2 linked regions of the Drosophila melanogaster genome follow. The protein of the gene in region 2 interacts with the protein of the main gene of each other region in a pairwise test. Each region holds a gene or a part of one and is shown on either strand. Other genes may lie near its edges.

What was found. The genes of interacting proteins can lie anywhere in the genome.
Region 1: the proteins of Rpn3 (region 2) and Tao interact in a two-hybrid assay, tested with the Drosophila melanogaster proteins (one large-scale study listed by BioGRID).

What each region holds. Positions count from the first base shown.
Region 1 is NC_004354.4:19,576,801-19,581,685, forward strand, and holds the start of Tao (Tao), read right to left. Parts: upstream 3,001-4,885; 5' UTR 2,598-3,000; intron 1,703-2,597; exon of another isoform or gene 1,102-1,702; intron 795-1,101; 5' UTR 695-794; coding exon 465-694; intron 400-464; coding exon 1-399. Other genes in the region: CG14218 (uncharacterized protein), read right to left, coding at 3,746-4,134, 4,196-4,859. UniProt on the Drosophila melanogaster protein: Serine/threonine-protein kinase which regulates the Hippo/SWH (Sav/Wts/Hpo) signaling pathway, a signaling pathway that plays a pivotal role in organ size control and tumor suppression by restricting proliferation and promoting apoptosis.
Region 2 is NT_033779.5:19,050,050-19,054,218, reverse strand, and holds Rpn3 (regulatory particle non-ATPase 3), read right to left. Parts: upstream 2,430-4,169; 5' UTR 2,166-2,429; coding exon 2,002-2,165; intron 1,941-2,001; coding exon 620-1,940; 3' UTR 538-619; downstream 1-537. Other genes in the region: l(2)37Bb (lethal (2) 37Bb), read left to right, coding at 2,721-3,122, 3,185-4,169. UniProt on the Drosophila melanogaster protein: Acts as a regulatory subunit of the 26 proteasome which is involved in the ATP-dependent degradation of ubiquitinated proteins.

The DNA.
Region 1 (4,885 bases), on a different chromosome or scaffold from region 2:
AGCGACCACACGTCCACCTTGCCGTCGTATTGGCCCTCGTCCATGGCCAGGATCACCTCGGGCGCCATCCAATAGGGCGTGCCGACAAAACTGTTGGCCGGACACTTGATGGCAGCGCTACCGAAATCGGCCAGCTTGACGACGCCGTTGTCCGTGAGCAGGATGTTGCCCGCCTTGATGTCACGGTGGATGCGGCCCAGCGAGTGCAGATAGCTCAACCCACTGAGCACGCCCAGACAGATGGCGGCGATCTCGTCCTCGTGCAGCGGCTTCTTGTGCACCTCGATGATGTCCGAGGCGGAGCCCACGCAGTACTCCATCACCAGCCAGGCGGTTGATTCGCGCAAATAGCATCCCTTGTATTCTATGGTGTTCGGGTGGTTCAATTGGCGAAGGAAGCTGTTGTGTACACATAAATTGATTAGAAGTCACTCGGGCGAACGCAAGTGTCAGCCAGTGCTCACCGTATCTCTTTGAGAATATCCTGCCACTTCTCCTGGCTCTGCTTGCCGGTGTACGACATCTTTTTGATGGCCACGATCTCCCTGGTGAGGTTGCATCGCGCATAATAGACCGCGCCGAAAGACCCATGGCCGATTTCGCGCAGGTCCTCGAAGATTTTCTCCGGGTCATGCTTGTTGAATAGGTCGGCTATTTCCGGATCCTTGAGACTACCAGGTCGTGCCGAAGGCATGGCTGTCTTTCATGCTCTAGCCCAGCTCTCTCAGTGGTCGACCTGCGTGCTTCTCCTCGCAGCTTGCAGCTCCAGCTGGCTACTCTGCTGTCTTGAAGTTCTGTGCGGATCGGGTGGGGCGAAAAAAAGGCGATTCCGGTTAGTCAGTCACATTCACAGCCTGCGCCAGTCACTTAGTCATGTTCAAAGGGTCGACATTTTTGGGGGATTTCAGGCTGAAACGCTGAGACTGCGGACCAATTGAATTGGGCGGCACGGGGCGTAGCGGGAATGGCTGGGCCAGTGGACAGTGGGCACTGTGCTTTGGTCAGCATTTGCATGGGGAGACGGTCAAACGGACGGACGGATGGGAACAGCTAAAAGCCGACTATCATCAAATCGATCAAGTGATTCATGCTCGCACATACTGTACGAATCATTCAAAACTCCGAATTCCGCACGCAGCACGGCCTTATCGCAAATATATTCACTGTTGGCACCGTCTTTTATGGCCAGGCTATTTTCCTCAGCTTGTTACCAACTTGTCAGCTGCTTTTTGGCCAGATTACGACAGCTGGGGTGTAAGTGGTCTAGGGCATTTGGCAGTCGGTATGACTAACGCCGTTAAGTTCATTTGCTTGGATTTCGAACAAGTAATGAGTGGAGTGGATGCGCACGTGCAGTAGGGCGGTATTTGTGGTCAAGCTGGACTAACTAGCTAGGTGTAGGGTATGCACACGTGCTGCAGGGTAATCAAAGGTCGTTACGACTGACACACAAACACACGCGAGCTGCCAAGGAGTAACGGCACCAAAGGGGTGCATTTATCGCCGTTGCGAATCCAAATACACACACACACATGCATACATTGGAGTATGCATGTCTGTGCATGCGGAGGCGTTTTGCGGGCGTCTGCGGATATCCGCCGGCTAAAGACGCGGATTTTGGCCCCCGTCGGAGCTCCGGCTTTCGCCTATCGCCGCCTGGCAAAAATTCTCAATACAATTAGTCCGCTGTGGTGCGGCGACTGCAATTCTTTGCCTGCGACGCGAAACAGAAACACGCCTATTTTTCATAGCCACCACACTATTGCACAAAGAGCAGCCATGTCGCTCACACACACTCACGCGCGCGCTCTATATGTATATGTGCGGTGGGATTGCTTGTTGTTTTGCATTTCGGGCGACACAAATTCAATTCAATTCGTGCCTTTTCCGTGGCTTGCACTGTGCTGTGGCGCTCCGTCACAGGGAATTGTAGTAGAATACCAAAGAGTTCTGCGATTCGAATTGATTTTCAGTTGGGTTGGCTTTTCCTTGGGTGCGGACTAGGCACACACCGAAGGAGCCGAAAAAGAACGCACGAAGGCGGTGATGCTGCGCCAGTTGTTGGTTTTCTTCGTTGACTGACCACTTATTGACTGATTACCATGGTTGATCTATGTGTTGCGATTAAAATTGGCTTATTTCGCTGCATTTTGCAACTGTTTTGAATCGCCTAATTTTGTTTTGCTTGCACACACACACACTCACGCTCGTCGGGGGAGCAGACAAATACACACACATTCGTATGGTTCGACTGGTGCTATCCCGTTCTCGCGCGTTGAGGGAGTCGTCGCACCGAAATCAGATGTAGCACTCAGAACCCGCAAATGCGCTGTATTTGATTGAAATTTGTGGGATCAATGATAATACCACATTGTTAATTCAATGGGCAGATGGCACACAAGAAATTCGCATTTATTGGCCAAAACGCAAACGCGAAAAAGAACAGTATGCACATACACACACGTACACGAGCATACGCATTCACACACACAGGCACACACGCACACAGGGATGGAGAGACAGTGGAAAATGCATAAATCTGGCGAGGCGAAAAAGAAAAAACGTTTGAACTTTTTCCACTGCGTTCGAGGGCTTACATTTGGCAATCAATTAGTGCTTGCTTGTTTATCGGCGCAACTGGGTCTCGCTTTTCGCATCTGTATGCATTTTTCCCTTTCATACGTCGCTTTCCCTACGACCGCTGCTGCTGTTATTGGCCCTGCTGCGACTGGGAACGGGAATCGGAATGGGACTGGTAGTGGTAGTGATACTGCTACTGGGAATGGCAACTATTGCCCTGCACTGCACACGCGTTGCGTTCACGAATCCGCACTGGCTACACATCTCGAGTGCCAAGCACCGAATTCGGGGGATCGTTACGTCGCAGATGCACCCATCTACGGCATGGAAAATTGGCAGCGATTGTCTATTTGCAACTTTTCTTCACCCGTTTCTCTAATTAAATTCCGTAAAGTTCACGTTCACACAGCACACAGTGTTACCAGATCAGCCGAGCGGCTTGAAACCAAAAACTACCACTGACCGCTTTTTACTAAAAAATCCCGATTTTAGGCGATATATTTAAAATTAACTTATTTTTTTCAATATGTTTGCGAAGTTAACTCTTGCAGAGGCGTTTTTATAGTTGAATTCGCTCAATTCAATTAGTTTTAAGAGAAAAGGTTCGTTTTTTGGTCTCTATCGATAGTCTATCGAACGTGCACCGGGTGGTGATGTCCGTGGTTACGCTATCGTTTTGGAATTATTAGTTTTTTTTTTTAATGTTTGAAAATCAATAATTTAACTTATACAGAATTCTGCAGAATTACAGCTCACGAAATCGCAGTTGGGTATCTATGTTAGAAGAACACATATATGTATCAAATTTTTAATAACTTTTTAATAGCTCAGTTCGCTAAGTCAAATACCGATACTCATCGCAACAAGTTTGGCGCACTTTTTGAAAACATACTGATAATTTCATGATACGGTATTTACTTAGCTATTTAACGCCCTCCTAGTTAATATAAATTACGGGGAACTTACATTATTACTTTATTTGATATGTTATTTACAACTATGCAAACTGGGAATACAAAAAAATGGATGCTTATATTTAAAATAGTTTATGTTCAATTTTAAGCACACTGCAACACATAAGCTATACATATGTACATACACATAATATATCAAGCTGCGAAGTTAATTTTATTGCCCACGTTGGAAAAATGAGAAACTCTACCGCTTAATTATAGAAGTACTGCTGCTGATTGAAAGTTGGGAAGCGATTCGTGTTGCCAAGCTCGAGGGGCGGGAAGTAGCCTTGGGATGATGCGGGAATACCAGAAGCACCCGCTGAACCCTGATCCTGACCCCCATCCTGACCCGCATCCTGAGCCCGCTGTCCAGCAAACGGCTGCCCAAAGTCGTCATCGCTCTCGTAGTTGACCAAAAATCGCGAAGCACTTGGTGGGGGAGAAGCAGGTTGGGAGTCAGGCCCATCTGCAGTGACAGGAAATGCAGCCGCATCCGGATCGGCAACTGAGTCCGGGTCCTGGGAGTCAACTAAGTCTCCGCTGTCTGGGTCAGCCGCCGCCGTCGCCTCCGCCACGGCTCGCGACCTAAAGAAGGTATCTGCAAAGTGTCGGAGAGAACCCAATTGTACGGCAGTTAGTTAAGAGGTTTCGTATTTTACCAGTAGGTTGTGCGTACTGATAGATAAGGCGGTCGCCCAGCTGGGCGGGACGCCGCTGTTGAGGATCGGGCTGCTGGGGTCGTGGGCGCGGCCGTGGCCTTGGGCGTGGCGGAGCTGTGGGCGGCGGCGGAGGAGGTGGAGGCGGTGGAGGTTCAGCTGGCGCCGCTGGCTGCGCATCATAGTCATAGTCGTAGTCATAGTTCGGCGGAGGAGGCGGTGCCAGTGTCGTTGGGCGTGGACGTGGTCGCACCTGCGGTCGGACGCGTCTAGGTGGCTGTGTAGTGGGCGGCGCAGGCGCTGGAGGTCGTGGTGCCGGAGGATCAGCGTAGTCCACATCGAAGGCCCCGGGCAGGAAACCGGAACTGAAGAACGGATGCCAGATGGGCTTACGAATGCGTATCGGAGCAGGTGGTGGTGGCGGAGGCGGCGTCGTCGTGGTGGTCGTCGGTGGACGACGTGTGGTCCGCGCCAGATTGGCCTTAGCCGAGGACAGCTGGGCGCTCTTGAGCAGCAGGTTACGCAGGAGCAGGCCAAAGTCCAGGGTGATGGTGCCTCGCTTTTCTCGCGCCACCTCCGTGTCCTGCGGCCCAGGATCGGCTGAGATCAGCGCCAGGAGCAGGCCCACCAACAGCAGGGCCATCAACTGCAGACGTAACATCCTCATCCTGACGGATCAAAGAGTATGTGTGT
Region 2 (4,169 bases):
TTAGGGCATTTAATACGCACGGCCTTTAATTAATTTGCATTGTGTGCACCTTTTTGTCTAAAAATTTTTTCCACTTTGATTTGTGTGACCGTGGCTGCTGTTTGTGTTGTTTGCGCCAGTGTGACCGTTAATACTGCCGACCAAAACCTTCGTCAGAAAAAGTGTGCTTTTTGTGGAAGGTCGTGTTTAAAGTAATTGAAATAATATTTGCATCTTTTCCATCTATAATTTACATATCATAAATTACCTCTATCAATCAGAGAAAAGTCCTGCCAATGTACTTAAGGGATCTTTAATAAAATAGCTTTGGAGGGAAAAGATCTAAAGAAGAATATGAATCTATGTTGCCAGACTTCGTTTTAAATTAACGCGCCAAGGCTGCCAGAAGAGTGACATTTTTAAAATGTTTTTCCATTTCTAACCGAATTGAAATTTTTGATTGTCTACCAACAACAACATACAACTTTTTGCTTGAATAAAAAGAAAGATCAGTTCTGAACTATTTTTGATTTCCAATACCTAATTAAAAAAGTTCCGAAATTATTGTAACTTATTTAATTGCGGATTATATTTCTATAAAAATGAATGCAAGCACAAATTAATTTGCAGAATCAGCCGCTTAGAAACCATCCTCATCATCCTCGGCCATCTCCTTGGCCAGCTCAAGGTCCTGCTGCTCCCGCTCGCGTCTCTCCTCGGCGCTCTCCAAATCCTTGCCGTAGGACTTTGGGGGATAGCGCATGGCCTTAACGCTCTGGTTGTGCAGGTTCAGGCAGAACGAGATGCGCTCGTGAAAGGCCAGCTGCGGTTCCCGGGTGCTGTAGATGTCCGTACTTTCCTTGCTGCGCATGAAATTCTGGGCTGGGTCCAACGTAGCCTCAATCACGCCGTCCCGTATAGCCTTCGATACAATAAACTCGGCATCCTCCGCGGAGTCTAGCATTAGCCGCTTGGCAATGTCTTGCGGCGAGATGCGTGAGTACGATAGTCCGATGGAGCGGATTGCCGTCTTGATCACATTGTGGCGCAGCCGGATAATCAGGGTGAATGTGTGGTCCAGTTGGAACTTGGGTCCGTATTGGGATACCACGTCGCCGAAGCGCTTCAAGTTGCCCAGACGCACGGCCTGCGTGAGCTGGAAGTAGGCACCAAGAGATTGGCGAAGACCGGCTTGCCGGAACACCACACGCTCCGGGATGTTGCCCAAAAGCAGCTCCACAACGATAATTAGCTTTTGAACCGTCTGACGAAAGCCGATGGCAGCGTGCTGCGGCGACTTACGCAGGGCCTGGACCAGATGCTTGTGGGCATCGCTGTACTCCAGCTTAGCGGCCTTAATCCGACCTAGATAGTACAGGAAACGCGCCCATTCATTGTTGCTGGCCGATTCCGGGTAGACGGATTTCTTTACCAGCTTGTCGGCTTGGTCGTACAAAGCATAGTGCAAGTAGTTGCGGAGCAAACAGTTAATAAGCACCGCCTGGCCTTCAAAATCATTACGCAGCGTAGCGGTGCGCAGACGAGCGTGCAGGAACGAGCGTATGCCTTCCAGTGAGTTTTTTAGCTCCGCCACTCTTGAAAAATAGAAGTAGGACTTGGCACCAATCAGATCAAGGGTGCGTCGGTTTTGGATGGAGATTTTGGCCATTAGGGCGTCGGCGCTAATTCCGGCCCGCTTTAAATCACTGGCGTCGATGAGCTTGACCAGCAGGAGCAGGTAGAAGTAGGCATCGACCTCGGCGATTGGAGCCTTGGTGGCAACTTGTTTTTTGGGAACATCGGGCAGCTCGGTGGCGTCTTTCTCCACAGCGGGCATCAAAGCCACGGCCGCCTCACGATCTGCACCAGCGGGGTAAATACTCTGTGCAAGATTCCGGAAGACGACGCCGTTCAGCTTGCGACGAGTGTTGGGCAAATTGCGAAGGACGCGCAGGATGAAGCTGTTGGCGGAAATGAGCCATAATAAGGAAGGGACAAGATTTTAATTCTTGCACTACTCACCGCGACTCTTTCGAGGCTACCCCCTTCTCAATCTGACGAATCTGCTCGCGGATCTCCTGCACGGCGGCCACATCTTGGTTCTTCTTCTCGTCAGCCAGCGTCTCCGCCGTTGGATCCACCTCCATCTCCACGTCGTTAGCACCGATGTCCGTTGCGTTGGTCATTTTGTAATGGAACTCTCAATTTACTGGGGTCACAAATATAGCCGACTTTTCTTTTGTTTTTCTCAATCCCAATCAAAAATGCCTAGTAATGTCGCTTCTTCTTCTTATTCGTTTTCGGCTACAGGCAGTGCTGGTAAATTTAGTTGGTTAACAGAGCTGTTAAGCCGTTACGTTTCAATTTATCGATACGTTTTACGGTACACTGAGCGAACTTTCAGTCTCATATGTTATAGGAATTTATTTTTAATGTTTTACAGTAAATGTATCTATTGCTTTAATTTGGGTTAGGAATTTCTTAAGTTACGCACTCAGTAAAAGCGTATTTTTATTTAAATTGCAATAAAACATTACCACAATTCCGTTAAGCCTTTTCTTAAGTTACGCACTCAGTAAAAGCGTATTTTTATTTAAATTGCAATAAAACATTACCACAATTCCGTTAAGCCTTTTCGATATCGATACTCCGATAACATCGCACGTTATTACTATTACAAAATAACACAAAATAAAAAATTAATACGGAATATGAATTAAATTAAAATTAAAGAGAATAAAATGTTGCGGTACAGACAAGTGGTGGGTCTCCTTCAGCGCCGTAATTTCTCGGCCGGAGCAACGAGCAATGGAAGTGGATCTTCCGGGGGCGACAAATCCGGCGAAGACCTGCACCCCATACGACGAACACTCCGTTTGCTCGGGAACGATATGCGCAAAGTTAAGGAGTTCTTTGTACCAAAGGAACCGGAGACCGAGAAAGTTCCCATTCCGACACAGAGCCAGTTTCACTTTTCAGGGGAGCGCGACAAGAGCAAGGAAGCCACTGTGCCGGATGACTTCCAGACCCATTGCGATGTGCTCATCATTGGCGGCGGTGGAGTGGGCAGCTCCATCGCCTATTGGCTGAAGGAGAAGGCCCGCGACGGTCTTAACGTTGTGGTGGTCGAGAAGGATGACACGGTAGTAAAATGATGTGTACCAGTCTACCCCGAATATTTAATTTGCCTTCCACATATTTCTAGTATGCCCAGTCAGCCACGCGTGTTTCGGTGGGCGGTCTTTGTCAGCAATTCTCCCTGCCCGAAAACATCCAAATGTCACTATTTGCCGCAGACTTCCTGCGAAGCGCAAGAAAACACTTTGGCGAGGAAGTGCCTCTCCAGTTTACGCCCCATGGCCATCTGATGCTCGCTGGCGAGGAGCACGCGGAAAGCCTGAAGCGCTCCTCTCAGCTACAAAACGAACTGGGTGCCCGAAATGAACTTCTCACTGCAGATCGACTGACTGCCAGATTCCCCTGGCTAAACACCAAGGGCATCGCTTTGGGCTGTCTTGGTCTGGAAAAAGAGGGCTGGTTTAATCCGTTGGCACTTCTGAGCAATTTCCGACGGTCAGCCAGTGGCTACGGCGCCCATTTTATCAGTGGCCAGGTGGTCGACTTCGAGTTCAAATCCCAAACGGACATTTCTGTTGTCACAGATCTTGGTTCCAACGAGGGTGCCTACACGGGCTTGGAAAAAGCGGTCATCCAACTGCCCGATGGTACGCGACGCACTTGCAAGTTCGCCCTGTGTGTAATAAGCGCCGGTGCTAGTTCCGAACAAATCGCGCGATTAGCAAGGATAGGCGTGGGTCCAGGAATACTTCGGGTTCCGCTGCCCATCAACGCACGCAAGCGATACATGTACGCCATCAACTCGCAGGCCCAAAGTGCACCCGGAATGAATATGCCCATGACAATAGATCCGTCGGGCATCTTTATTCGCAGAGATGGCCTGGGCGGCAACTATATTTGCGTGCAAGATTCGACGGAAGAGTATAATAGCGCGATGATTGATCCGCAATATTTCGCCCAGCACATCAGACCCCATTTGTATAATAGAATTCCCGTTCTTGGAGAAGCCCAAGTGGTGGATAGCTGGGCGGGCTGCTATGATCATAACGTATACGACGAGAACGGCATTTTAGGAGCTCACCCGTACTACAACAATCTGTACCTAGCCACCG